Canis lupus familiaris: one gene and its partners. The protein of the gene in region 4 purifies or fractionates together with the protein of the main gene of each other region. This does not show direct contact. Links are inferred from orthologs where the notes say so. Each region holds a gene or a part of one and is shown on either strand. Other genes may lie near its edges. The genes, in order: FASN, CUL2, HDAC4, HIF1A, SEPTIN9 and LAMP2.

The links.
Region 1: the proteins of HIF1A (region 4) and FASN purify together in Homo sapiens (affinity purification with western blotting; 3 studies listed by BioGRID and IntAct, with this or other methods). This does not show direct contact. The link is inferred for Canis lupus familiaris from reciprocal best matches to the Homo sapiens genes HIF1A and FASN.
Region 2: the proteins of HIF1A (region 4) and CUL2 purify together in Homo sapiens (affinity purification with western blotting; 7 studies listed by BioGRID and IntAct, with this or other methods). This does not show direct contact. The link is inferred for Canis lupus familiaris from reciprocal best matches to the Homo sapiens genes HIF1A and CUL2.
Region 3: the proteins of HIF1A (region 4) and HDAC4 purify together in Homo sapiens (affinity purification with western blotting; 4 studies listed by BioGRID and IntAct, with this or other methods). This does not show direct contact. The link is inferred for Canis lupus familiaris from reciprocal best matches to the Homo sapiens genes HIF1A and HDAC4.
Region 5: the proteins of HIF1A (region 4) and SEPTIN9 purify together in Homo sapiens (affinity purification with western blotting; 4 studies listed by BioGRID and IntAct, with this or other methods). This does not show direct contact. The link is inferred for Canis lupus familiaris from reciprocal best matches to the Homo sapiens genes HIF1A and SEPTIN9.
Region 6: the proteins of HIF1A (region 4) and LAMP2 purify together in Homo sapiens (affinity purification with western blotting; 3 studies listed by BioGRID). This does not show direct contact. The link is inferred for Canis lupus familiaris from reciprocal best matches to the Homo sapiens genes HIF1A and LAMP2.

What each region holds. Positions count from the first base shown.
Region 1 is NC_049230.1:1,062,451-1,067,068, reverse strand, and holds part of FASN (fatty acid synthase), read right to left. Parts: coding exon 4,617-4,618; intron 4,520-4,616; coding exon 4,330-4,519; intron 3,689-4,329; coding exon 3,594-3,688; intron 3,472-3,593; coding exon 3,337-3,471; intron 3,253-3,336; coding exon 3,049-3,252; intron 2,934-3,048; coding exon 2,818-2,933; intron 2,548-2,817; coding exon 2,372-2,547; intron 2,275-2,371; coding exon 2,083-2,274; intron 2,000-2,082; coding exon 1,919-1,999; intron 1,803-1,918; coding exon 1,605-1,802; intron 1,385-1,604; coding exon 1,205-1,384; intron 1,128-1,204; coding exon 924-1,127; intron 353-923; coding exon 48-352; intron 1-47. UniProt on the Homo sapiens protein: Fatty acid synthetase is a multifunctional enzyme that catalyzes the de novo biosynthesis of long-chain saturated fatty acids starting from acetyl-CoA and malonyl-CoA in the presence of NADPH.
Region 2 is NC_049223.1:2,210,551-2,215,168, forward strand, and holds part of CUL2 (cullin-2), read left to right. Parts: intron 1-765; coding exon 766-867; intron 868-2,220; coding exon 2,221-2,337; intron 2,338-3,552; coding exon 3,553-3,684; 3' UTR 3,685-4,618.
Region 3 is NC_049246.1:49,601,449-49,606,066, reverse strand, and holds part of HDAC4 (histone deacetylase 4), read left to right. Parts: intron 1-2,774; coding exon 2,775-2,859; intron 2,860-3,328; coding exon 3,329-3,470; intron 3,471-4,208; coding exon 4,209-4,248; 3' UTR 4,249-4,618. UniProt on the Homo sapiens protein: Responsible for the deacetylation of lysine residues on the N-terminal part of the core histones (H2A, H2B, H3 and H4).
Region 4 is NC_049229.1:36,930,292-36,934,909, reverse strand, and holds part of HIF1A (hypoxia-inducible factor 1-alpha), read right to left. Parts: intron 3,939-4,618; coding exon 3,718-3,938; intron 3,046-3,717; coding exon 2,759-3,045; intron 1,494-2,758; coding exon 1,371-1,493; intron 1,244-1,370; coding exon 819-1,243; intron 1-818.
Region 5 is NC_049230.1:4,399,568-4,404,006, forward strand, and holds the end of SEPTIN9 (septin-9), read right to left. Parts: intron 4,127-4,439; coding exon 4,075-4,126; intron 3,038-4,074; coding exon 2,902-3,037; 3' UTR 859-2,901; downstream 1-858.
Region 6 is NC_049260.1:93,174,314-93,179,678, reverse strand, and holds the start of LAMP2 (lysosome-associated membrane glycoprotein 2), read left to right. Parts: upstream 1-1,923; 5' UTR 1,924-2,085; coding exon 2,086-2,149; intron 2,150-5,365. UniProt on the Homo sapiens protein: Lysosomal membrane glycoprotein which plays an important role in lysosome biogenesis, lysosomal pH regulation and autophagy.

The DNA of each region.
Region 1 (4,618 bases), on a different chromosome or scaffold from region 4:
ACAGCTTCTAACCCCGTGACCTCACGCCAGGCGGTCCGCACACCCACCTCCACTATGTGCATCCTGAGACTGGTCATATTCTCCAGGGCGGTGTCCGTGCACGCCTTCAACGCCGAGGAGTCCAGAAGGCCGCAGAGCAGGGGATCATCGTGCAGCAGGGACCTCTGCTGGGCCAGGAGCTGGGCCAGCTCCAGCTGCAGGTTGCCATTGAGCTGCAGCTGGCAGGCAGCGGCCAGCAACTGAGGCAGGCCTCCCTGTGGGAACTCGCGGGGGACCTGGGCCCCATCCAGCCCGGGTACCACCATCTTCAGGCCCTGCTGGGCCACCTTGGTCTGCAGTGCTTGTGCCAGCCCTGGGGGGGTGAGGGGGCAGAAAGGGGCGCTAGGGAGGGTCTCAGCTGGGCCAGCACTCCCCCCAGCACGTCTGCCTGGAGCAGGGATCCATCCAGAACCAGGACCCATGTGACTGTCCTCCCAGGGCCCACATCCTGGCCCTGTCCCCGCATAAGCAAATGCATGGGAGAGACGGGGTGGGCAGCCTGGTCCCCTAAGACTAAGAACTACCCTTCCAGGGTGTCAGGGGCACAGAGGAGGGCTAACTACGTAGTGTGGGCTCAGTGCTGGACATCCCCCGTGGCACCCCAGTCTGTTCTATCCACCCATCTGCATGGGGACGGGACGAGCCCTTGCAGGGGATAGTCTGCAGGGCCAGGCCCCTGTGGCACCACACGCAGATGGCTGGCTGGGGACGTAGCGAGGAAGGACCAAATCCAACATTGTGCCTAGAGCCCCTGCCCAAGATGGGGAGCCTCTCGCAGAAGCAGCAGGACGCTGCAAAGCGCGGGGGGTGTGGTGAGAAGCTGAGAAACACCCCCATTGCCAGAGGCGTCAGGGGCCAGAGCGCAGGTGGGGAGCTGGCCTCACCCCTACACAGCTGCAGCTCCTCCTGCAGGGCTGCGTTTCCAGCCAGGACGCCTCCCTCCATGTAGGGGGTGAAGGAGAACTTCTCTAGGATGGGTGCATGCTGCTCCTGCTGCCGTCTTGGGGCCACAGAAGCGTGCAGGCCCAAGATGAGGGCACCGCCGGCTACCGTGCTGTTCAGGCAGCTGCTCACCTTCACGTCGACCACTGAGGAAAGAGGTGGGTGAGCATGGGCAGCACCTGGCGCAGCGACACAGGCCTGCGGGGACTGGGCGTGGGCCTACCTCGGGCATCGCCCTTCAGCGAGTACACTTTCTGCTGGTGAAGGGCGGGGTCGATGTGGATGGAGGTGATGCGGGTGGGCAGGCACAGGGTGCGCTGTGGATTGCCCAGCATGGACGTCTGCAGCATGGCGTCCAGGAAGACCACCCAGTTGTCCTTCCACAGCAGCTGGCCGGCTTTGCCTGTGGCAGAGGGGCTGTCAGCTTGGCTGGTCTGGGTCTCTCTTGCTCACGGCACCCTCTCCTCCATGCCCTGGCCTGGGTGCCCCCAGCGGCCCCTCACAGCTTGGGTGACGCCGGAGTCACATGGCACCTGGATTCTGGGCAGCAGGTCAGGCCCTGCCTGAGGGGAGGCGGCCCCGAGGCTCGTTCCCAGAGCATCAACGGACATTTGGTGCCCTACCTTCAAGGTTGGTCTCCAGGATGCCCTGAAAGTGGGGGCCGTAGTCATAGCCACGCAGCCGCAGCTCCTTGTACACGTCCCCCTGGGTGAGGCGGAACGCGGCCATGGGGTCCGTGGGGTCCGTGGGGTCCACGGGGTCTGCGCCACCATGGAGGTCGAACAGCTTGGGGTCAGGGTCCTCCCACTGGTACACCTTTCCTATGGGTCGGGGGCAGAAGGGTCTGAGGGTGGGCAGAGAGGAGCTGGCGGCTGAGGTCCACTCAGAGGCCAGCCCCTACCAGACCCTGCAGCCCAGCCAGACGCCCTCTGCTCACCGCTCACTATCAGGTTGCCATTCTCAGACACCTCGAAGCTCTGGGAAGCCTCTAGAAGCCGCACTTCTAGGGCCATGGTCCCTGTGGACAGCAAGGTAGTAGATGAGCATCAGGGCTCAGCAGTCGGCTCCCCACCCTGACCCCAGTGGCCCACCCCATCTCACCGGTCTTGGGCAAGATGGTGGCCTGGTGCAGCGTCACGTCCTCAAACACCACGGGCATCTCCTCCATGTTTTGGTTCAAGGCACGTGCCAGCATCTTCCAGGCCAGGCACAGGTAGCCGGTGGCAGGGAAGAGGACACGGCCATCGATGCAGTGGTCCACCAGGTAGTGGTCAGGGGACTCGGGGCTGGTGTCTGTGTGGGCTGGACCTTAGTGCCGGCGGCCAGGAGGGAGAAGCCAAGCCCACCGGCACCCTCGCCCGATCCCTCTACTGCCCTTGGCCCCACTCACCAATCTTGCAGATGGTGGCAGCGGACGAGCCGGTGGAGCCGTTGGGGAAGTCCTCGGCGGCAGGCACGTCCCAGATCTGACTGTGGTCCCACTTGATGTGGGGGGAGATGAGAGGGGTCCCCCGGGGAACCGGGAAGTCCATGGGTGGGAACAGGCCGTTGGGGTTGGCGTCCATGCTGGGGGGTGGCAGGGAGGTGTGAGGCACACACCGGGCCCCGGTGGCCTCGCCTGGGACCATCCTGTCATTCCCACAGCCCACCACCTCCCATGGGACCCCGCAGATCGCCATTGGGGTGGGGGCCGTAGCACGGGGCTCGGGCGGCCCAGCACCCCCAGCCCACTTCCTGGGGATGACCCCACAGCCACGGAGCGGCCCCGATAACAGGCTTCACCGTCGGGAGAAGCCGGGCGTAGGCCCCCGCCCCCGGCAGCGGCAGCTGACCCACCCCAGCAGATGCAGCTTGCCCGTGTTCCTGAGGAAGAACTCCAGGTTGTCCTTCTGCTCCTTCTTCATCAGGGGGATGATGGCGCAGCTGGGCTTGAGGCCTCTCTTCAGGACGGCCTGCGGGGGCAGACGGCTTGGCCTTCCTCACAGGTTCCCACCCTCCCGAGGCCCATTCCCTCAGCCCCCCGGCCCCCGCCGCCCCTTCCCGCCCCCGGGCCCCGCGGGGACGCACCTGCAGCAGGGCGTGAGGTGCGATCTCCACCACCACGGCGTGCTCAGGCACGTGGCACAGCGCCTCCTGGAACAGCACGGGGCTCACCAGGTTGTTGACACTGTACTCCGCCGAGCACATGCGGGCCAGGCTGCCCTGCCACTGGGCCTCGGGGATGGATGTGCTGAGCCAGCGTGCGGAGCGGGGCTTTGGCTCCCGGATCACCTGCACACACGGCATGGTCAGCTGTGTGGGCACTCAACCCCCACCCGCGCCTCCAGGAAGTCCCCCGTGGGGCGGCCAGCCCACCTTCTTGAGGGCCTTCAGCAGCGTGGGGGCGATGGACTCCATGAAGTAGGAGTGGAAGGCCATGCCGCCCGTGCGCACCTCCTTGGCAAACACGCCCTCCTGCCTCAGCTCCTCCAGAAACGCGGCCACCTCAGCCTAGGGACAGGGGTGCCAGGAGTGGACGAGTGGAGCCGGACCATCTGCCTGGGTCCCCACACAAAGCTCTCCGTGAGGGTCGGGAAGGGACTCGGGGACAAGCCTGGCCTCCTGGGGCCTACCTGAGGTCCCGAGATGGTCACTGTGTCTTCGGAGTTGTGGCAGGCGGGCACAACGCCAGGGGGACAGCGCCGTTTACACTCCTCCCAGGTTAGGCCTGTGGGCAGGGATGGCCTCAGGGGGCGGGCAGCGGGGAGCCAGGGCCCCACCAAGAGGAAGGCGCTGCCCAGGGCAGGCCTTAATGACAGGGGTGCGGTAATGACAGCCGCCGAGCGGGGCCTTTATGGGGCACTTTCACTCCTGCCGTGTTTGATCTCGGGGGAAGGTGTCTCCCCTGTCGTCCCACAGGCGGGGAGCCGGGTCCTGCTGCAGTGAGGACAGCCCACCCCAACCAGTCCCTGGGGTGGTGGCTCTGGGAGGTGTCCCTCCTGTCCCCGGCCTAGCCTACTGCTTCTCCTGCAGCCCCTGGGGGGCAGGTGCCAATGGAAGGGGGCCAGGGCCAGTGCACCCGACACCCTACATCTTCTAGTGCGGGGAGGGGTGCTGTTCATGCCCCACATGGCTTTAGCCCAGTTGGTAGGAAGAGCAGCAGTGTGGACTGATGCTGACCGCTGAGTGGGCAGGGGCCGGGGGGGCCACCGGGCACCCTGCAGTGAGGACGGTGGCCGATGGAGCTCCCCGAGACCCCCGGCCACTGCCCAGGGTGAACACGAGGAACGCCAGAGATGACACCCCCACCCCAAGGGCTCCTGGGTTGGTGGGAGGTGTGGAAAGGGGGGGCCCAGAGGGGACACCTACCCACGGCTGCCATGGCCCCTGGTGGGATGCTGGCCTCCTTGATGCACTGGCCCCTCCAGTAGGCAGTGAGGACGGCCTCCTCCTGAGAAAGGCAGCCATCTGCGTAGCCGCAGGCCACCTCCCCCAGGGAGTGCCCGATGATGCCGTCGGGTCGCAGGCCCATGGAGGTCAGCAGGTCTATGAGGGCAATCTGCGAGGAATGGGGACGTGATGGGTCACACCTGTTCTGGGGATGCCAGGCTGGCCCCCAGCACTGTCACAACAGCCCCTAGACCCCATGGGCGCACCT
Region 2 (4,618 bases), on a different chromosome or scaffold from region 4:
AAAATATAGATGATTGCTTGTTTGCACATAAATTTTAACTATGAATCTGCTGTTCCTTAGCAGAACTTCTTAGCTTATTATTGAGAATGAATTCATTTGCTAAGTGCTTTTTGATCTTGCTAATGGAGAAAACACCATGTGTGATCAGAGTGGCTTTCATAAGCTTGATAGTTGTGATTATAAAAATTGACTTAACAACTTTCACTTGAAAAGAGGCCACGTGCTTCTGGCAGACAGTAAAACATGAATTCGAGGGTAAACTTCATAAGAACCATACTAAAGCCGTGTATGCCACTGGACACTACTTGTTTCTGTTGTCGGGTTATTTATAATACGTATACGTATTTTCTTATTGCAGCACTTTAAAAGACATTTGGTTGCTCACTTTTTCAAAATAGGGTGACATAAATTATGAGCCTAGTAGTTCATAAGAATTAAAGTGTTAAAAAAAAAGAATTAAAGTGTTAAATTCTGTTTAAGACAATTTGACTCTTTATCCGATGGTTATATATATTAGTTGGGCCATAGCTTATTTCTAAATCTAAACAGATTAAAATTCAAGTATAAAATTAGAAAAGAATTGATATTTGCTTCTTTCTTTATTTTACAGAAGACAGTTGTTTTTCTCTTAAATAATCTTTATAATGTAAAATGATGAGCGTTTAGTCTTGCTTGGTCATTTAATTTTATGATATTTTATTTGCAGCAACTCTTATTTAATTGTTTTAATTTTTATAAATATACATGCATTATTTTCAATTATAGGAAGACATTGATACAGAATCTTCATTTTCATTAAATATGAACTTTAGCAGTAAAAGAACAAAATTTAAAATTACTACATCGATGCAGAAAGACACACCACAGGTGAGTGATTTTTAATGTCATTTCTTTGGGAAATATTTAAACATTGGACTTCACAAGCGGTAACTGAGATAATGGAAAACTTTGCACATCAAAATTAATAATGTGATGCCTTTTTTATGATTTATTCTTTGAGCTTACTAAACCTTGCAAACCAAACCTCTGCCAGTATTTTAGATTATAAAAATAATAGATATCTAAGAGTAATGTATAATATAATAGATATCTAAGGGAAAAGGTATTGCAGTATAGTCATACTTTTAGACTATATTAAAATGCAGAGCATTGCTTTGCATTCTTCACAGAAATTCCTATTTATTTTTAAAGATGTTATTTATTAACTTGAGAAAGAGACAGAGAGAGCACAAGCAGGGGGAGAGGCAGACTCTCCCCGGAGCAGGGAACCCTATGCGGGGCTCAGTCCCAGGACCCTGAGATTATAACCTGAGCCGAAGGCAGATGCTTCACCATTTGAGTTACCCAGTGCCCCCAAAATTCCTACCTTAAGTAGTAATATAATCTCATATTTTTTATTTGTAAAATAAGGGAAAGCTTTATAACATTCTTTCAGAGAAGTTGTTGGAAGTATTTCTCAAAATTTCATGTGCAAATGAACCACTTGGGGTCTTGTTGATACTCAAATTGTAATCTAATAGGTCAGGAGTGGAGTTCAGACTACCAGATGAGCCATTTTGCAAGGTGAACATCTGCTGTTGATTCTTTTAACCCAGTAATGATTAATGCTTTGCTCTGGGATAGCCTATTAAGGTCACTTAAAGTTTCTTGATTGTCTTTGCCCTATCCTTGGGCATGGGGCAGGATATAAAATTATATAAGATGTCAGGCCCTCTATAGGAACTTACATCCCCTTGGGGAGACAGATGTTAGTTAATTGTTAAATTTGAACCCTAAAAAAATTGAACCCTAAAATGTTTGAGATCCCATTTTTCTCTAGACTAATGAATAATAATTTGTAATATGTAGATTGTATTTTATCTTTTATTTTTTAAAATATTTTATTTATTTGAGGGGGGCAGAGGGAGAGTATCTCAAGCAAAAGTCTTGAAAATTACTGCTGTGTTCTACTTTATTGCCTATTTACATTAAATACATTCTATTATACTGTTAATTTTTTTTTAAATAACCTTCCAACTTTAACCCAAGAAATTATAAATAACTCACTGTAGATATTCCTTTAGTAATGATTATGTGATAATGATAATGGGCATTTGATAGCTGTATAACTTGAAGCTCGGTATCAAGTGGAAATTTATGTAAACTCAGTGACAAAATGAATTATGAAAGGTTCAATGACTTACTGTGTCGTTTGCTTTTTTTTTCCCCCCTGTGAAACAGGAAATGGAGCAGACTAGAAGTGCTGTAGATGAGGACCGAAAAATGTATCTCCAGGCTGCTATAGTTCGTATCATGAAAGCACGGAAAGTACTTCGGCATAATGCCCTTATTCAAGAGGTAAAAGGAGGGGAAGCCCTGAGGGCTTTTGGGGATAATGGATATTATCAATGAATAGATTAGGAATGTTTCTTTGTCAGAGTGGTACATACATAATAGGATTCCCAAATAGCATAAAGAAATGCTTTATTACTTAATGAGAACAGTACTTAGAATTTCTGTATTCAGGTTTGCTTTGGCTTAGATTTAGAGGTCTAAGGTTCACCAGGATTTTGAGCCTTCTGTCCAGTTATTGAAAGAAATTCACTACTTCAAATATTCATTCCATAAATATCTGAGTGTCTACATGTGATGGAGTGCCTTGATAGTCATTAGGGATGTGATGCAGAGCAACCCATGATGTGGATCCTGCCCTTTTGGAATTCACCATCTAATAGAAAAGAAACACATTATTGAAATAGTATGGAAGCAAAATATAAAATTACATTAACAATGCACTGAAAAAGAGCTACAGTAGTATGAGAATGTGCACAAAAATACTGACTTAGAAAAAAAAAAAGTACTGACTTAGGGGATGTTGGCGAAAGGTGTGTTTTTTTGTTTTTTGTTTTTTTAAGATTTTATTTATTCATGAGAGACAGAGAGAAGGCAGAGGGAGAAATAGGCTCCTCGCAGGGAGCCCAATGTGGGACTCAATCCTGGAACTTGGGATCGTGCCTTGAGCCGAAGGCAGACGCTCAACCGCTGAGCCACCCAGGCGTCCCTGGAGAAAGCTTTGAGAAAGTGTTAGTTCAACTAGGCACTGGAGTGTGAAGGTTAAACAGAAAATGGAGTGTGTGTCTGTGTATTTAGATAGATTGATTAATTTATAGTTTAATTTATGTATGAATATTATTGGATTTTGCTATATCTGTGTTCTGCTTTGTAATTCCTTCACAACAGAAACATTAGGCTTTTTCCTTATTTTGCATTAAATTTTTTTTGTCATCAACATTGATCTAATTGTTTCCTCTCCTTGGGCACTGTCATGTGAGCTTAAAATTTTAATACTGTTCATGGTGTTCACTTGCTTGATGTATCACATACGTCCATGTAGGATGATTTTATTCATTTTAATGAACATGATTTCATAACTAAGTATATTTTTCCCATGTGGATTAGGTCTGTTTGATGGAACCTCTATACATTTGGGGCACTTCACAGCTATTGGTTAAAAATAATTATTTATAACTGACTACTTGGCAGTAGTTTGACATCTGTGTCTCTCTTACACAGGTGATTAGCCAGTCAAGAGCTAGGTTTAATCCTAGTATCAGCATGATTAAGAAGTGTATTGAAGTTCTGATAGACAAACAGTACATCGAACGCAGCCAAGCGTCAGCAGATGAATACAGTTATGTAGCGTGATGTCGTTCTCCTCTAGTGTGGGTGTAAGAAGATCATTGCCATCACCATTTGGTGTGTTCCTGTGGGAAAAAGCAGGCCTGTGCCTCCATAATTTGGTCATTTGGCAGCCCCTGTTTTTCTGCTGTTTACAACATCACCAGTGCCACGTCATGAGCGTCCGAGAAAATGCCTAGAGATATTTCAAGCTCATGTCATTATGACATTTCTTAAAACTTTATTAAAAGAATGAGTGAAGTATTGCTGAAATGTGGAAATTTGGTTGGGTACCATGCTTTTTCTCCCCTTCACGTTTGCAGTTGGTGTGTTGTTTTTTTTTTTTTTTTTTTTTAATGTATCTTAAAGGACATAAAATAAAAAACTTAAATATTGTAATATGACAGATAACCTAATAATTGTATCTACATTAAAATGACAAACATGATATTGCTGCTTGTCAAATAAAAAAAATAAAGAAATAGAATGCCTTTTTTATGTGGATGGAGTATCACACATAATAGTATATATATAAATGTTCATGAGTCATCAAAGCAGCTAATGCAGCTTTAGTTGCATTTTTATCCAAATGGTTTAATTCACTTTTACTCCTACTTAAGTCCTACATGAAAAATGTCTAGATTATTGTTCTTGAATGCATAAAAATGCATTCAACATAAAAATGTTTTATTTTTATGGATTGGAACTACGTTGGATATGAGCATTTTGAATGTTGGGGATTTAATTCTATCAAGGGTTTCTGGTGATATGCTTACACCACAGAAATAAAGGATGAGGAGAATATGTGGTGGCCTCAAGTCTGGCATAGAAAGTTTCTCATTCAAAAGTTGTCTTCTGTTTTCATAATACATTAATTCTAATATAGACAAATACTCCAGCCCTCTAACCTCCCCTTCTACCTTTCTCTGAATTACAGGAGATTCTGCAATACCAGTGTATT
Region 3 (4,618 bases), on a different chromosome or scaffold from region 4:
TGTTTCACGTGGTCCCTGTTCGCGTGGCCTCTCCTGCTTCTCGCTTCCCGCCGCTCAGACCACCGCCTGGGATCACTGTGCCTTCTGCACACCCCACATGTTTCCCGGGAGGGACGCGGTGTCAGCTTCCCCACGTCGCAATTTTATCCTCATTCTTTTTTTTTTTTCTTTAAAAGAAGACTCCACGCCCAGCCCCGAGCCCAGCGTGGGGGTGAACTCTCGACCCTGAGATCTCGACCTGAGCTGAGATCAAGGGTCCGACGAGCCCCCGGCCGCCCCGCCCTCGGTGTTGACTGACCGGCTCACCGTCCTGGGCTGACAGCCCTTGTCTCTGGGGCTTTGACGGCCACGCCCTGTCCTGTCCTGTCCTTGGCCGTGTCCCCCCCCCCCCCCCCCCCCCCGTCCCCTGCTCTGCGGCTGCGCCCTGACGGACCCAGGCAGGCAGGTGCTTCAGGCATGACTCTTCCTGCCCGGGTCCCGTCCCCTCTCCCCCTGCCCCGGGACACCGAGCAGACGGACCCAACCCGCTCGCTCCCCTCGTCCCCGGCGCATTCAGGGTCATTGCTGCCGCGGCTGTGATTTCATTCACAGACGTTCTCCTGGGCCGGCTTTAAATCGTCCGCTTCGGTTCAGTAATCCTGCGTCCGTATCTTACTTCTGATACTCACTGATACTCACTAATCATTTACCTTGTAGTTTAAAACTGATCATTTCAGTGACCGTGGTCTTTGAGGATCTAAACCTGCCGTTTTTTTACTAGACTTCTAACTCCGGGCAGCGCTGGCTCGGATGCTTTGCCTCGGTGCCGCGTGACCGCGTGGGCCTGGGTCCCAGCCTGGGTCGCCCGCGTGAGAACGTCCCCAGGTCCACCCGCCCTCCCACGGCCGCCCTTGCCGTGTCGGGGCCCCGCCCAGGACCCCACTGTGCGTCCAACCGTTCGTGCCCGCGCCCTCTCAGGCTGCCCTGGGTTGTCATTTTTGGAGTATTGACAGTTGTCAGCAATCAGGCACGGCTCGCGGCTATGCTGCAGAAGAGCCCTCGTGCTCGTCCTGTTTTCCCTTGTGCTGGAAGCGGGGCGGGGGACCCGGGCGCAGTGCCCTCCTCTGTCCGGGCCCGTGCCGGGCGCGCAGCTTCTCTCTGGGGACGTGAACCGCGAGCGCTTGCGTAGAGCAGCGTCGGCCGCCTTCCCCGTCGAGCCGGCTTCTCCCCCCTTCCATGCGGCCCGTTGCAGGGAGGCCGGGGCCGCGGCTCGGCTCCTGCCCGAGGAGACAGGGTGGAGGTCGGAAGGGGCTAGGCGACAGCTGTCGGGGAGGGGCTGGGTACCCGAGGCATCTCAGATGCTTCTCAAGGAACGCGTGTCTCCTCCCGGTACGTGTTCGGGCACTGACTCCCCCCCGCACGGCCGCTGGCCCCTCCAGCCCGAGTCTCCGCCCCTCCGCGTGGCCGTCCCCCGCCTGGGAAGCCGCGCTTGCCCCAGAGCCTGGGTCCTCTGCCCGAGACCCCCCTTGTCTCTCCTGAGCCCCGCCCGCGCCGGCTGACTCCCGTGTTTCATGATGTGTGCGGCCGGGGACTCAGCCCTTGGAACCCAACTGGCCACACTGGCGGGCGGCCCGCAGGGGGCCAGGCGCCTCCCGAGAGGGTGCACGGCTGCTCCGCACATCGCGGCCCTCTGCTGACGGTGGAACCTGCCCATTCCCAGGGAGACCCTGGCCCGTCCCTGCCCGCAGAGCCCAGGGTCAGAACAGACCCCCCCACCGGTTGTCCCTGCGGGCAGCTCGGGGCGCGTGGGGGGCCGTGGCCGTTGTCGTGCAGGCCTGTCCCGGGATGCGTGACCGCCCTGGGCAGCTTCCAGCTTCCTTCCGGAACCCAGCAGATCTCCCCCAGTTTTGTAGGCTTGTCTAGTAATTTAAAGATCTTTAAAATTACTTTTGTGTTTTCATGATGTATCCCCGTGAGCGTGCTTAGGTGTCGTGTGGAGGACGCCCGGTGTCCCCTGCGGCTTCCGTCCCGTCCTCTGCCGTCCACACCGACCGGAAAACTGGGAGCACAGGCCCCCCTCAGAGATTCCCCTCACTTTCTTCTTTCTTTTACCTTTTCCCCCATTTTTGGAAGAACACCATCGACAGGATGGCCAAGCATTCTTACGTGTAAGACTAGGGATGTGAAAGTGGTATTTCCAGAAAGCAGTCATTGTTTCCCTAGTGTTACGGGGTGGTGTAGACGGGGTCTCAGTGGGTTCCAAGCAGACGTCCTTGCCCGCCAGCCCGCTCCTGGATGCGGTGTCCGCTCAGCCGGGAGCTCACGAGCACACTTGACGGTCTCCCGAGAAGAATACCTCAAAGAAAATAAATCCACTTCCGTTTTTAAAAAAATTGTACAGGGGATGCCCAGGTGGCTCAGCGGCTTAGCGCCTACCTTCAGCCGAGGGCATGACCCCGGGGTCCCGGGATCGAGTCCCACATCGGGCTCCCTGCATGGGGCCTGCTTCTCCTTCTGCCTGTGTCTCTGCCTCTCTCTCTCTCTCTCTCTCTCTGTGTGTGTGTGTGTATGTGTGTCTCGCGAATAAATAAATAAAATCTTTAAAAAATAATGATAATAAAAAATAAAAAAAGTCGTACAGTAAATAGCAAAGCCACATTTGGCTGCTGCTGCTTTTCTGCCCGTAAATACACTCAAGAAACCGACGCTGACTTCAAACCTCCCTGAACAGAACACGTGCAGGGATTATGTCGACATCCGTCACGTTTACTGTGTATTTGTATATTTTTTTCTAGCTTGATCCTCTCCCAGAAAAGGTTTTACAGCAGAGACCCAACGCTAACGCTGTCCGGTCCATGGAGAAAGTCATTGAGATCCACAGTGAGTTGTGTGGGCCACGTGCTCGGCGGGGAGCCCCAGGGGTGAGGGATGACCCAGGTCACTGAGGTCGCGGTGTAGGCGGGTCTCCCGGTGCTCCCCAGATGCAGGTCCCCACCAGCCGCCCCTGCTGACGAGCCCCCGTGTGTGCGAGCAAACACCGAGCGGCCGGCCCCCACACGCTCCCCTGGCGCTGCGGCCCCCTCGTCTCCTCCCCCTCGCGCCGGGCCGTCCTGTGCTCCGCTCTCTGGAGTCGGGGGCAGCCCCGCTCTCACGGCCCCCCCATCCCCCCAGCCGGTGCCCCTGCCTCGGGGAGGACTCGACTCCAGGAGCCCCGCCTTTGCGAGCCCGTAGCCTGGGTGCTGCCTGGCTTCCTCTCCTGCAACAGGTGCTTTTAAAGGTGCCAGTGAGGAGTCAGGCTTGAGCCGGGGGAGGCCCAGTAACCCAGCCCCCTCCCGCCCCCCCCACGCAGGCCAGTACTGGCGCTCCCTGCCGCGCCTCTGCTCCACGGTGGGGCACTCTCTGGTAGAGGCCCAGAAGTGCGAGAACGAGGAAGCCGAGACTGTCACCGCCATGGCCTCGCTGTCCGTGGGCGTGAAGCCCGCCGAGAAGAGGTGAGCGCCTCCGCCCCCACCCCCGGCGGGCCCTTCTGCCTGCGGGACCACCCTCTGCAGGCACCCAGGCCTCTGCTGTCCTGTGGGCATGTGCCTTCTCTACTGGGCCCTGCCTCCTGCTTGGGCATCCCAGGGAGGGATGGTCGGGTGTGGGGGGAGGGATGGGGGGATGGACGGGAGAGGGATGCAAGGATGGAGGGGGAAGGATGGAGGGATGCGGGGGGAGGGATGGAGGGATGGAGGGGGAAGGTCTATGGGGATGGAGGGGGAAAGATGGAGGGATGCAGGGGGAAGGGATGCAGGGATGGAGGGGGGAGGGATGTAGGGATGGGGGAAAGATGGAGGGATGCAGGGGAGAGGGATGGAGAGGGGGAAGGATGCACGGGGGAATGAGGGGAGAGGGATGCAGGGGGAAGGGATGGAAGGATAGAGGGGGAAGGATGCAGGGATGGAGTGGAGAGGGATGCAGGGGGAGGGATGGGGCAGGGCTGCAGGGATGGAGGGGGAGAGATACAGGGGTGGAGGAGGGCGGGGAGGGATGGCGGGTTGGCAGGCAGGTGCCGGGCCCCACGGTGGACGCGGGCTGCAGGGCCTCCTCTTTCCAGGGTGAAAGGCCCGTGGGAACCCTCGAAGAGCCTTCGCTCTGGGGCAGGGGCGGGGGGTGCAGGGGCGGGCGGCCCTCCGGGTGGCCCTGGCCTCACGCCGCGGCCCTCTGTCTCTCGCCCGGCGCCGCCGCAGACCCGACGAGGAGCCCATGGAAGAGGAGCCGCCCCTGTAGCCGCCCGCCGAGCTGCGGGTCTCTTGTTTGTTTGTCCCCGTCTTGAAGCTCCGCCAAGAGCGGCTCCCGTTTGTGTGCGGCCTGCCCGCGTCCGCGAGCGAGCGCGGCTGGAGCAGCAGCGGGAGGCCTCTGCCCGACGGGGCGGCCCAGCGCGGACCGGGACCCACGCCGGCCGAGCAGACGCACAGACACACGCGAGGCCGGGCTCTCGGCTCCCTCGACGGAGGCCGCGGAGGAAGGAAGCCTGTGGCGGCTCGCGGCAGAGCTGCCCACTTCGTGGCCACGAGGGAAGGAAAACGAAAAATCAAAGATCTAATAATACAAAACGGACTCGATGAAAACTGGTGCTCACAGTTGATTATTACCCACA
Region 4 (4,618 bases):
GTTGAAGGGGAGGTGGGCAGGGGGTGGGGGTGATTGAGTGAAGGGCACTGAGGGGGGCACTTGATGGGATGAGCACTGGGTGTTATTCTATATGTTGGCAAATTGAACATCAATAAAAAATAAACTTATAAAAAAATACAACTTAAAAAATTATATATAGAAATTGTAACTTAAAATTTGGGTGGTATAAAGGTATTTGCTCAAACTAACTCCATAAAAGCAACATCATAAATCATGCTTAGATTCTTGTTGTAGCTTTTAAACATTTATTTAACCTATAATATAGCTAATGTTCTATAAATATGTAATGAAAAATAAAAGCAATTATACATAAATTTTAAAAGAAGGCTTGTAAATAAATACCTGTATTAAATACTGAGGATTGAAGACTATCAGGCTCAATTTGAAATGGGGAATTGGAAATACCCTTAAGTTGGAAGGTCTTTTATTCAAGTAAGCTTTAAAATAACTCAAAGAGACAGAAACAGTGAAGATGGTTAACTAGTCTGATTTACTTAGCTACAAGTAATTGGGCCAATTTTTGTACATTTAAGAACTTATTGGCCGCATTATTTTTTTAAAGGTACTGGAAGACCCTCCTACCTCCTACATTTAGATAGGTGATGTGGTTATTTTCAAGAAAATAAATACACAAGTTAATTTAGAAACATTTTTTTGAGTGCTTGTTTTATCAGAATTTGTATGTCAATTTAATATTCTTAAAGCATATTTACCAGAAAGTTAGTTATGTTTAGACATAATTAACCCTACATACATTTTAATAAAAGAGCTGTAACGTTAGTGTTATATATAAATACCTTTGACTCAAAGTGACAGATAACACGTTAGGGCTTCTTGGATGAGATTTTTCCGTCTGTTCTATTACTCCTTTTCCTGCTCTGTTTGGTGAGGCTGTCCGACTTCCAGTATCACTGTATGGTGATGTTGTGGCACTAGTAGTTACTTTAGGTACATGGGTAGGAGATGGAGCTGCAATCAATATTTTAATGTCTTCTATGCCATCTTTTGTCACTGTTTTTAATTCATCAGTGGTAGCAGTGGTACTGGTAGTAGTAAGAGGAGGTTCTTGCATTGGAGTCGGCTGGAATACTGTAATTGTGCTCGCACTTTGAGGACTTGTAGAATTGCTTTCCAGTGGTGACAACTGATCGAAGGAACGTAACTGGAAGTCATCATCCATTGGGATATAAGGAGCTAACATCTCCAAGTCTAAATCAGTGTCCTTTAAAGCAACAAGTACATGAGTTTTACAATGGCCACATCGTATAAAAGAAAAGTTAACCCCAAAATCACTTCAAGCTAAAAATTAATAAAGTTTAATAGAAAATATAATAAACAAGTTCATATACCTGGGTGGAAAATGGATTCTTTGCTTCTGTGTCTTCAGCAAAAAGTTTCTCTACCAATTCAAGCTTAAATTCATTGACCATATCACTATCCACATCAAAACAATATTCACTGGGACTGTTGGGCTGTAAAAGGAATTCAATGTGTTTACTTTTCCCTGAGGAAACCTACATATATTTTGTTAGTTGTTAGAATTCTCAAGCCAGACCTCAGAGAATACACAACAAAGTCCATTTCTTCTATCACATTTTATCTAACTAGTGACAAGTTAAACTTCAGAGCTTGCATTTATAACTATACATTTCTATGTAACAACATCATTTATGAAATTAGGACTAAAAGATACATTCATCTGCTTCTTCTGAAGAATAAAACTCATCTACTAATTCAACTCCCACATGGTACCTAATTGGCCAATAACTAGATATGATATACTCACTGGAATCTACCTTTATCCTGAGAGGCCAAACTTCCATGATGATGTACCTAAAAATCTCACATGTTTCGGGGGTGGGGTAGGGGTGAGGACGTAAGTTCTTTTACTTACATTCACCTTAATGAATATAGTACTATTTTAGGGGTTCCAAGCAAGGATTCTAACCAGTCACTTGTAACTACATAGTCTAAGAATAAGCTTTTGCTTTCTTCATTTTAACATTTGTTAGATTTACTTTTGTTAGATAAAAAAACAAAATAAATCAATAGATTTTTATGCTGGGTAAGCTGAGCAACTACAGCACAGACTGTATTTTCCGGAAGGCTGTGAGATAGATGTCAAATCTCCTACTCTTAGCTCACCAGTTTGAACTGATAAATATTACATGTAAAATTATTCACCACTTATTAAGACTTACTTGTGCCTCATGGTCATAATATTCAAGTCTGAGTTGCCTTACTACTCCTGAGCATATTTTTTGACATAGTAAGCTCTGAAATGGAATCGTTCTAGATTTAGAAATAAAGCCCTATGTGACATCTTTAGTCTTGGCCTCAGCCTAACCCTTAAAAACTATTTTCATTGTGTTTATAGAAAAACTATTATCAAGACAGAACTTGAGTAAAAAATAGTTATTAGGTATTTACTCTGTTTAAGACTTGGTATTTTCATATTATACTTATCTAGGATTTCAAAACAGTGATGAAAATTGGGCTAAATTAGGCAAATAGCTTAGGGTCCCTTCGCTTTTAAAAAGCTTAGTTAAAATAAGCCTTTTGCTACTTGACAGTTCTCCAACTCATAGGGTAATATACCTTTGAGGGTAGCAATTACAGGCACACACATTGTTCTCTGTGGATGTCTAAATTCAAGACTTTTTTTGTATTCATTTTATAAATACATTCCTAAAATTAAAATATGAAAGTTATCCTCTTCTTAGATCATGACACCTACCTCAGGTGAACTTTGTCTAGTGCTTCCATCAGAAGGACTAGCTGGCTGATCTTGAATCTGGGGCATAGTAAAAGAAAGTTCCAGTGACTCTGGATTTGGCTCTAATTTTAACGCAACTTCTTGATTGAGTGCCGGGTCAGCACTACTTCGAAGTGGCTTTGGAGTTTCAGAAGCAGGTAATGGAGACATTGCCAAATTTATATTCTGTAATTTTTCGTTGGATGAGGGGAGCATTACATCATTATACAACGGAACTTCCTCAAGTTGTTGGTCATCAGTTTCTGTGTCTATAGGGGAAAAATTATTAATCAATTTAAAGAATGGCTAGATTTTAACATATAGGGAATTATATGCCCCCTTTTACAAAAGGTCTAATTCACTCAAACAAGAGTGTTACCAAATTTTCCTTAATCAGAAAGTTTTCAGATATTATGGTATAATCATTAAGTCTGAATTGTCTTTCCAATCTACTGTTGACAGGTCCTATTATATTTATGGCATAAAAATCCCCTGCAATTCCAACCTTTTCATACCTTCTACTCATTAAAATTTAACCAACTTTGAAATTACAATTTTCATTTTCAGTGTCTGATATTATGTTATGACTGATTATCCTTTAATGAACTACACCTACTGCAATATAATTTTTACACTGTGGAGAAAATATGGCAACAGGATATAGAAATAAGAGTAGCTGAGAAACATTCAAGTAGGAAAAAGAAAGACCTAAGAACCCTTTGAAGCACAACTTACAACAATGACACAGAAGCAGGAATGCTTAAAAATTGCAGGGGCAAACATATTTAAGCAAATACTTTGAAAAAGACATTGAAAAACAAAATATGTAAGACTGCAATATTCACATGATTACCAACAATAACATGTCCAAGTTTAGTTAAAATGGGCTTGCAGCAACAGATAGAGTTTTTAGGCAATCGAAACAATAACTAAAGACCCACCATTGCTGCCGAAATCTAAAGATATGATTGTGTCTCCAGCAGCTGGGGCCAGCAAAGTTAAAGCATCAGGTTCCTTTTTAAGCTTATCAAAGAGACTACTTGTATCTTCTGATTCAACTTTGGTGAATAGCTGAGTCATTTTCATATCTGAAGATTCAACTGGTTTGAGGACACATTCTGTTTGTTGAAGGGAGAAAATCAAGTCGTGCTGAATAATACCACTGTCAAAAAAGAGAGATTAGTAGTTCTTAAATGAGCATTGACACAATAGGGTGGGGGTGACTGAAATAACCTGTCTCTTAAAATTCTGCTTTATGAAAAGGAACATTTTAAGATGCTTTATACTAATCTCTCATGCATACCTGGTTACATTCAGGGTATAAAATAGCAATATGAAATAAAGACCTCTAAAAATTCAAGAACTTCAGATATCCCTTTGGGAAGAGTGATGGTGACAAAGAAATGTAATAGTCAAGTACATGAAGGATACAAACAGATCCTCACAATTTTTATGCTGATTCACATGTAATAAAACCAACACAGAAGAATTCTTTGAGACTGATGCACGAGGTATGACCTAAAGATGGTCCTAAAATAAAAAGATAGATAAACGACCAAGGTCTTTCTAAGAAGGGTGCCATATTTTCCTTGGTGCCAAGAAAATGATACCTGCAGGATAGCGTTGAAGAGGAATGATGAAAAACAGACCCATCTTTGTGTTTGGCTTAAATATAAGTTTTATTGTCCCTTTAATCAATAAATATTTAAGTGTTTACTAAGTGAAATGAACCAAGGATACAAAGCTTAAAACACATAACCTTTGCCCTCAGAAGTTTATAACCCAGTGTGAAAGTAGATGTGCAAACAATTAAAAAACAAAACGGGAACTGCTGAAATACAG
Region 5 (4,439 bases), on a different chromosome or scaffold from region 4:
AGTCAACCTGCCCCACAGAGAGGGCAGGGGGTGGGCGGGGGGAGCCGAGGGGCTGCGGTAATCCTGACGCCACCCAGCCTGTCGGCGGCAGAGCAAACCTTGAACCCACATCATCTGAGTCCCAGTGCGGGGACTTCTGCTTTCCACCTCGGCCACCCCTGCCGCCACCTCGTCCCTGAGGCCCAGAGATGGAGGGGGAAGGGGACACCTGGGCTGGAACAGCACCCACCTTCCCCCGAATTCATGTCCTTGCAGAACCTCAGAACGTGGCCTTATTTGCAAACAGCGTCTTTCCAGATACAAGGTAAGGACGGGATGAAGCCACCCTGGATTAAGGTGGGCCCCAAACCCAATGGGAGTGCCAGGCAAGAAATCGGGCAAGAAATCGGTTTCTTGTCTGCAAGGACAAAAGCACAGAGCAGGAGGCCAGAGCCAGGCATAGCCTGCCGACACCCCAATCTTGGGCTCTCGGCCTCCAGAACAGTCACAGAATAGGGCACCTGGTCGGCTCAGGGCGTGATCCCGGGGTCCTGGGGTCAAGTCCAGCACCGGGCTCCCCGCAGGGAACCTGCTTCTCCCTCTGCCTCTCTTAAATAAATAAAATTTTAAAAAAGAAAAAAAAAAGCACTGGGAGAGTATTTTTGTCGTTTTAGGCAGCCCCAGAGATCCCCTGGACACCCAGAGGCACCCTGGGGGTCGCGGTGGTTTCAAGCCAAAGGGCTTGGGTCCAGAACGCTCGAGCTCACGCCCCCTGCCCACGGCACCCTCCGGAACCTGTCTCCTCCCCGTTCTCTAGGCACAAACTCGCCAGTGTGGAAATACTGTCAAATACTGACCAGTTCATAGGGTCCAATCTGATAGGGCGGATTTTAAGAAGAAAAACTTTATTTCCAACAATATAGGAACAGAAGCAGCTGGCAGCGCCTCCCCGTGGGAAACCCTCCCAAGCCTCCTTCAGTGAATAAATTAGGAAAGCTCTGCCCTTGGCTTTCCAGAGAAACGAGTGCTTCTGGATTCCCCGAAACCGGCGTCCCCGCCACCATTAAACAGCCCCCCACACCCAGCAAGCACCCCGGTGCCGGCTTCCTCTGCAAGGAAGGCCGCGCCTCCGGGGCCAGGAAGAGGAACACATCCCCCCTTCCAGGTTTGCTTTCGGACATTTATTTCAGGAAATACATTTTCAACTTTGTTATTTATACAAAAAGACGAATTTCTCAGGAGGCACATAGCAAAAGGCCACTGCGGAACAGATCCCAGTGAAAGTCACAATTTTTTCAAGGTCTGGCTACAGAGAAGGAAAGCGAGTCCACCCGGCCGGGGAGGCCGCCCCTCGCCCCCCGCCCCGCCGCTGGAGGTGGAGGTGTCCTTCGCAATCTTGGTTTTGGCAAAAACACGGCAAGTCGGCAAGTCAACGGTTTCACTGAGGGGTCCTTCCTGTCTTGGGTGGGGAGAGAACACGTGATGCACGCATATCGTAGGTGTGCGTACACACACACCTCTGCACAGGCCTCTCTGCACCCCCTTCCTCCACTGCTGTTCTCACGGGTTGCAGTGAGCCGGCCCGGGGGGTGCAGACAGACGTGCACCTCACCTGGGTCTCATCTCACCTGCCCTCTGCTGTGCGAGGGTCCCTGCTGGTCTCTCGGGGGAGACAGAGGGTGAAGGAGCAGGACCAGGAGCGACTGGCACAGCCCTGCTTGGAAAATCCCGTCTGCAGCCTGACGATGGGCCAAGTGCACCTGACTCCTGACCTTTCCTTCTCTGCGGGGTGGGGGTGTCTTTACGATGGGCTCTGGGGCACAGGAGCCCAGGCACATTTAGGGCCATGAAAAGCTCCTGGGGTCATGGTGTCAGCAAGGCCTGGCCCGGGAGGGCTGCATGTGTACCTGGGGTGGCCGCCTGGGCATAATTTAACCAGAGCATCTTGGGCCAAAGAGGTGTCTAAACAGACAGACGGACACACACACTCTCTCCCAGTTCCCAGTTCTGTGGGGCGATGCAGGGCAGACACCGGGGCCACTAGGGCCGCTCTGACAGGCCCAGGCTCGGCCCACAGCCCCCTCCTTCCGGCAGTCACCTCCTCCTCATCTCCTCCACCAGATTCACTTGCTTGGACCTTCCCCAGAATCATGGGGGTGGGCTGGAGTGGGGTGCATCCTTTTCCTTCCCTTGAAGGCTCAATCAAATCCTGGGGGGAGGGGGGACGACGGAGAGATGGAGGCACACCTCTCTCTGTCTGACTTGTCCCCAGTTCCAGCGGAGGGGACGGCGGGGGAAAGGACGCTGGCTCGTGGACGGCTGAGATAAAGGCACTTTCTGCTCCAGGACGGGCTCGTGGGGGCTCGTGGGGGCTCGTGGGGGGGTGGGGGGCGGGCAGCAGGCAGCCAGTGGGCCTTGCTGGGTCTAAGCAATCGGCAACTTGCATCTCATGGAATCAACTCTTCTCCCGATGGGTGGGGCAAGGGCGGGGGCTCTCTGAGTTCCGGGTCTGAGTTAGGGCCCTTAGGGCCTGGGGCCGTGCAGGGAGGGGGCGGGAGGGGGCTCCGGGTCTCCCCCCACACCACCCTGTCCTGATCGGAGGCTGTGGCGACCGGGAGCTGCGCCTGGGGATGGGGACTGACGCGGAATGGGGGGGCCCCTCCTGCCCCCCCCAGACCTCGGGGACAGCCAGAGGGGCGCGGCCTCTCCGAAGCCCAGGCCGGTCCAGGCCCCGGAGTCAGCGGCTAATAACACGCATACTCAGGAGGGCACACGGCGTGTCGTTACTCGGCAGCGTGTCAGGGGGCGGAGGACGATGACGAACGGAGGAAATGATATAAAATAAGACGGGGCACGTGGGCAGGCCTGGGGGTGGTGCTGGAGAGGACTGGGGGGCAGGGTCCCGGGGGCAGGGCGGGTGGGTTACATCTCCTGGGCTTCGGGCCCCTTCTCGTCGACGCCGTTGGACACGGCGCTGCTGCCTTCGTGCAGGCGCTTCACCCGGTAGGCCTCGAAGTGGATGGTGCTGGTAATGTCCTTAATGTTTTGCATGTGTGTCCTGGAAGGAGGGCCACGATACAGGGAGGTCACAAGATGGGGCCGACCCCAGTCCCCACCCCCTGGCTTTCAGGGGGCCCCCCCAGGAGGGGCCAGTAGGTGGGCCAGGGCCCAGGCCTGGCGGGGTTGTGGGTGCCGTCTCCGAGGCACAAGAACACAAACGTCCCACTGCTTGTGCCCCCGTCCCCCCGTGTCAAGTCTAAGGGCAGGGGCTGGGTGCGAACTCAGAGGGGACAACACTGGAATGTCCTTGCTGCCACCTAGAAGCCCCAGGCCATTGGCCAGGTGGGGGGGGCGGGGCAAGGACCAGTGGTCCTGGGGCCAGGGCCTGAGCTGGAGTGCTGGTCGACCCCACTGGTCCTATGCTCGGGTTTTCCCTCCCCTGCAGCCCAGGCCCTCAGGACAGACTGGAAAGTGGCGGGGCGGGGGGGGGGGGGACGGTGTCTTCTGCTGCCAGGCTTTCCAGCATGGTGGGGTCACCCCCCGAAGCCACAGCCCATCCCCCCAACTTAGAGGCCCCAAGAGATAGCCTTGTCCCTCCCCTTGACTTCATTCCTAGATTCCTAGAATGCATCCACCTGCTGAGAAGCGGGGAGCCCCTGGTGCCACAGCGGGAGCCCCCCACCCCCACCCCCACCCCCGCTCTATAGGCTTAGGGGTGGCCGCCCAGGGGACACCAAGGAGCCTCAGCTAGGTCAAAGCAGTGCGGTCAGAGGACACTGGGATGGGAGTGGGGGACGCCGCCCCCATGCCTGGCACCAAAGGCCCCTGAGGCCCTGAATCTAATGGACCCAGGCTGCAGAGAGGAGAACCTGGCCCCCTTCCCACCCAGGTGACATCATCTAGAGGAAGAATTTCTACTTTCTGCTTCATTTCCATGGCAGTGTTTTAGGCCAACGGACTTCGGAGGTCCTCCTGGGGGGGGGGGGGTCAGGCCAGCTGCTGTCCAGGCCTGCTCCCCCACTGCCTACACTCCTCATTCAGGGGCCTCTCGGGGCCTTCAGGGGGCCAAGCCGACAGCCCACAGCCCTGACTCACCTGATAAGGAGGTCCCGAAGGTAGGCAAACTCACAGTGGGTGGTGTTCTCAACTGAGAAGAGACAGAGGAGCTTTAATGTCACCCAAAGGCCCTCCCCAGCCCTGCCGCTCCCCTCCCTGAGAGGTTCTGGTGCCAAGAGGAGCCTGGGCAGGTGGGCATGGGAGTCACCACCCCACAGGGGAGTACTGGGCCCCTCACGGGCACCCGGCTCTGCGGATACGACCTTGGCAGGCCCGACGGGGCTCCTGCTCTCCAGAGGGTTCTGGTTGAGTGGTGACAGGACACAGGAACCCTCCACCCAGCAGCGGGCTACGGGCAGGAGGGCCGGTGTTAGGGGCTCCTGGGGGGGCTCAGTGGGCGAAGC
Region 6 (5,365 bases), on a different chromosome or scaffold from region 4:
AGTGGCTCAGCAGTTAAGCACCTGCCCCTGGCTCAGGATGTGACCCGTGGTCTCAGGATCGAGTCCCACATCGGGCTCCCTGCCTGGAGCCTGCTTCTCTCTCTGCCTATGTCTCTGTCTTTGTCTCTGTCTTTCTCTCTCTCTCCTCTCTCTCTCTCTCTGTGTGTCTTTCATAAATAAATAAAATCTTAAAAAAATATATTAAAACTCCCTAGATGATTCTTTCGGACACTAACATTTGAGAATTAGTGCTTTATCCCAACTTGAGATTTTTATAGTTTTTGAATGCTTTCATTTGTTGACTGAGGTTTCATCTGTTCACCTGTCAAGCATACCAAATAGTATGTCTAGTATGAGTTCATTAAAGCATATTCACATGTGGATATGCACAGGAAAAACAAGTGGAAGGATAGATTTTCTTTCTGTGTTTAAAGAAGATTCTGGGCAGTGGCGACGGCGGCGGTGAGAGGATGAACAACAAGTTCGACGCATTGAAAGATGATGACAGTGGGGACCATGATCAGAATGAAGAAAACAGCACACAGAAAGATGGTGAGAAGGAAAAAACGGAACGAGACAAAAGTCAGGGCAGCAGTAAGAGGAAGGCTGTTGTCCCTGGGCCAGCAGAGCATCCCCTGCAGTACAACTATACTTTCTGGTACTCCAGAAGAACCCCTGGCCGTCCCACCAGCTCACAGAGCTATGAACAGAATATCAAACAGATCGGCTCCTTTGCCTCTGTGGAACAGTTCTGGAGGTTTTATAGCCACATGGTACGTCCTGGGGACCTGACAGGCCACAGTGACTTCCATCTCTTCAAAGAAGGAATTAAGCCCATGTGGGAGGATGATGCAAATAAAAATGGTGGCAAGTGGATTATTCGACTGCGGAAGGGCTTGGCATCCCGTTGCTGGGAGAATCTCATCCTGGCCATGTTGGGGGAACAGTTCATGGTTGGGGAGGAGATCTGTGGGGCTGTGGGTCTCTGTCCGGTTTCAGGAGGACATTATTTCAATATGGAATAAGACTGCCAGTGACCAAGCAACCACAGCCCGCATCCGGGATACCCTTCGGCGAGTGCTTAACCTACCTCCCAACACCATTATGGAGTACAAAACCCACACCGACAGCATCAAAATGCCAGGCAGGCTGGGCCCCCAAAGGCTCCTTTTTCAAAACCTCTGGAAGCCGCGGTTGAATGTGCCATGACCCTCTCCCTCTCTGGATGGCACCATCATTGAAGCTGGCATCATCGGAGTCTCTTGTTCTGTTGGCGTGCTACCTGGAAGATCCTTCTGTCCTGGACAAGAGGAATTGGAAGAGCATTTTATGTTTTAAGAACAGGCTGATATACAGCAGCTACAACAACAGCTGAGATCACTTAATAAATGGTGCTAAACTAAAAAAAAAAAAAATAAAGAAGATTCTTCCTCTTTCTGAGTTGAATTTCTCCATCTGAAAAATAGGGTATTGCAATTAGGCGAACCTCAAGGCCGTCCTGCTCTGGCTGTCCGCGACACCAGGCTACCCACCCGCTCCCTTGTCCATTTAATCACATGAACTGCAGGGGCATATGAAACACGTCTTATGGAACAGGCGTTCGTAGAATAATTCCGTGTTATTAGTGTTCATATTACGTTATGATGCTTAGCAATCTTTTTAATCCAGCAGAATTATTCTCTTCTTCCTCAATGAGTTGGAACTGAAATAAACTCTACTACCTACACCCCGCGAAAAGTTAATCCTCTCTCTTATTAAGCCTTAGAAAGAGCCGTCCGCACCTATCTCTTGGGCGCAGAAGAAGGACTGTGAACCAAAAAGCCAGGGCGTGGTCGCCCCGCCCACCGACTCCTGCATCACCTCCCCTCGCGCCGCTTTCCAGCGAGGCGATTGGCTAAGCGCAAGAAAGGGCCCCGCCCCAAGTCTTATGACCCGCACCGAGGCGGCGCGTCCTGGCGTTTGCAGTGCCGCGCTCGGTGGTCCGCGGTCCTCCCGCCCGGTGTCGGCGAGCCCCTTCCCGGGTGTTGCTGTGCCGTTGCCACCGCCCCCTCCCGCCCCGCCGCCGCCCCCCCGCTTGGCGGAATCATGGTGTGCTTCCGCCTGTCCCCGGCTCCGGGCTCGGGGCTCGTTCTGCTCTGCCTTGTCCTGGGTGAGTTGTCGGGCCCTCCTGCTCCGTCCGTCAGCCTGGGCCCGGGGAGCCCAGTGCCAAGGCCACAGGCCGCAAGCCTGGTCCGGGGGAAGGGAGCGTGGGGCAGGCCGCGCGGCTGACCCTGGGCGGCGGCGCTTGGCCCGGGGAGGCGAGCCGTGACCTACGGAAGGCCTGACCGAGAGATGGCGGGGAAGAAGGGCCCGTGAGAGGGGGACGGGGCAAGCCAGCCGGGTGGGCGCCCAGGGAGTAGGGGGGGAAGAGTGGGGAGTGGAGCAGCCCTGGGGAGGAAGAGTAACTTGGGGAAGAGACTAAAAAGAGTGAGTCTAGGAGGGACGTACGGGCGATTCTGGGGTGGCAGAGACCATTGGGAGACTCCTGGTTTCTTAGGATCTGGGTAGAGTTTTGAAGATGGTGGAAAATTATGGGGTGGGAGCGAAAATTGGGGAGAGAAGGGAACCGCCTTCGCCTGCGCGCAGAGCCTTGGGGGAATGGTGGGGAGTTAGGGGCGCTTATGACCGTAGAGTCTGGGGGACAGTGAGAGGGCCGGGGGGCGTTGTGTGGGTGGAAATTTGAGGCCGTGGAGGAAGGGTGATGAGAGAGATGAGGACCGCTGCCGGATTTGAGTTTGGTGGTTGGGAGTTTTGAGGGGTAGGGACCTAAGGTGACCCCGGGGCAATTAACAGGCGAGAAAACTCGGACCTAACCTCTGGAGACTAAAGGGATGAGGGGGAACTTTGGCGGGGAGTGATCTGACTTGGAGGTGCTGAAGATGTCGCTTTTCTACCAGTTTTGCTACTTCCTCCCAGCCAGATACTGATTAAGAACAAGCAGGCAAACCAACTTAAAGCCTTAAAAAACAAAAAAACAAAAAAACCAAAAACCAGAAACCTCCGGGTATTTCAGCTGGGAGGGCCTCCCAGATGTGCGGTTTTGGGGGTGGAGTATTGAGTCGTGTATACTGCCTCTGCCTTCCGAAGCTCGTTTTCTTCTCAGTGACACAACTGGCCTTTTACTTCATTTTTGGAGGAGGAGGATAGGTGACTTGCCAAAGACTGGGTTGTTACCAAGTCATAAGAAAGGCTGGATGAATGTTGGCTGATTGTATTATCCCCCCCTCCCCCAAAGATCACTGGGTCCCTGAGGGCTGTAATGCCTGAAAGGTGAACTTTGACCAGAGTGTCTCTTCCTGACCTGATTCATCCTGTGCTTGTTGCTATCCACCAGCTTGCTGTTTGTGACCAAATAAAAGAAAGGGGGAACAAACCCAGGTGGTGGGGGTGGTGGTGGAGGGAGGGGAGGGAGTAGGCTTATTAAGGGTCCGAAAGGGCAGTGAGAGGTACACAGTCTGTAATTCTCATTTCAGTAGAATAAAATCAGCACCCTAAAATAGTGGATTCTCAAACTGGGAACATTTGGCACTATCTGGAGACATTTTTGGTTGTCGCAACAGGAGATTGCTTTTGGCATCTAGCGGGTAGAGGCTGGGGATGCTGCTAAACATCCTACGGGGCATAGCATAGTGCCCCCATCCCCCAACAAAGAATTTTACACCTCAAAATGTCAGAAGTGCTAGAGTTGAGCAATCTTGCCCCAGAGTGAGAGTGCTGGAAGGGTGGGTTCTTGATGATCTAATCTAGTGCTTCTCAAGGATCTTTTTGAGGAGGTACCTGTCAGATAAAAACTTATTTCTAAAATAATACTAAGAAGTTATTTGTTTCTTTCACTCACACTCTCACCAGTGTACAGTGGAGTTTTCCAGAGGCTACACAATGTGTGATGACATCACCACCACTCTCATGGCTCTGATGTTGTATTTTAGTCACTTCTTATTTTTTATTTCGAATATGGCAAATACCGACAGATATAACGCACGTAAACCAATGTGAATAAGAGAGTAAAGGGTCCTGACACCAGACGTTTCAGACTCCCCAATCTAGTGCAGCTGTGCACATAGGGCAGGAGACACCCCTGTAGCCCTTCTGAAAGGAAGCCTTGGAGACTTTGCTCAAACACAGTTCGAAGCTGTTGTTAACACTGCTGCCAGGCACTTACTGAGGGGCCAGCGACCCTAAGAGAGGATTGTTTACAACGAAAAGCACCTTATCAGTGGCTAGAACTCATCTGACCAACGCATCTGTTAATCAGTAGTTCACTGCCAATTGAATCTGCACAAACAACCCGGTTATTGTTCAGAGAAAGTGAAAAAAAAAATAATAATTGTCCTACTTGTTGGCTTTCGTGTCATTAGATTTTTTTTGTTGTTTCTTTTTTTATGAAAGCTTTTTTGTTTTGTTTTTACAAAAGCTATGCTTGCTCATTGCAGAAAATAAACAAGCAAGAAGAAGCACATGAAAGAACCCGTCAGCTCATCTGCTAGTTTGCCATTTATTGATCTGGACTAACTAGATTCGTCTTCTTGGAAGAGTTCCAAGATCGATTTCCTCCACTTCCAGGTTTAGAACAGGGTTTGGGGGGAGTAAAAGTTCATAATGTACCTAGATTAGATTTTTAGAAGGTATCAGTGAACTAGAAATCCTCTCTTCTCCTGGGCTGCTTTTCCTGACAGTTGTTGGTTCAGTGCGGAACTCAGGTTCCTTCCATGTGGTTTTCTCTCTTAAGAATCGAGCTGGTCTTCAGTTGCCTGGTGGGGTTGGCACGTCACTTTTCATATATCAAAATACCAAGAATGGGTTTTTAAAAACTCAATAAATATTTGTAAAGTACCTGTTGTGAATCTTGTGCTGCTGTTCTGGGTACCAGTGAAGAGGGATCTGCCCTGGATTTATAGTCTCATTAGCTTGAGTGCTCAAGCTGTGCCAGTTTCACTTTGTAACTTTATAACTATCCTAGCTCCACGGAAACTTTTTAAAAATAGCTACTTTAGGGCAAGTATAGGAAAGAGTTCTTAGGAGTTATGTATTGGTCCTTTTCACAGAGATTAAGTCATGCTCCTCATTTGAATGAATTATAACTGACTAGAGAACTTTCTGAAGAAAAGCGATACGATTTTTCCAAAGCTCTACAGATGCATTATAAAGAGAGTAGTGGATAAAAACCATTTCCTAGCATCATCGTCTAAGTGTTTTTTCTTTGTGACATCATAGATTTCAGAATTCTGTGGCTATTGATTTTTACAACTAGTTTGACTTCTGGTTTTTATAGGGTTGATGTTTTTTTTTAAGATTTATTTATTTATTCATGAGAGACACACAGAGG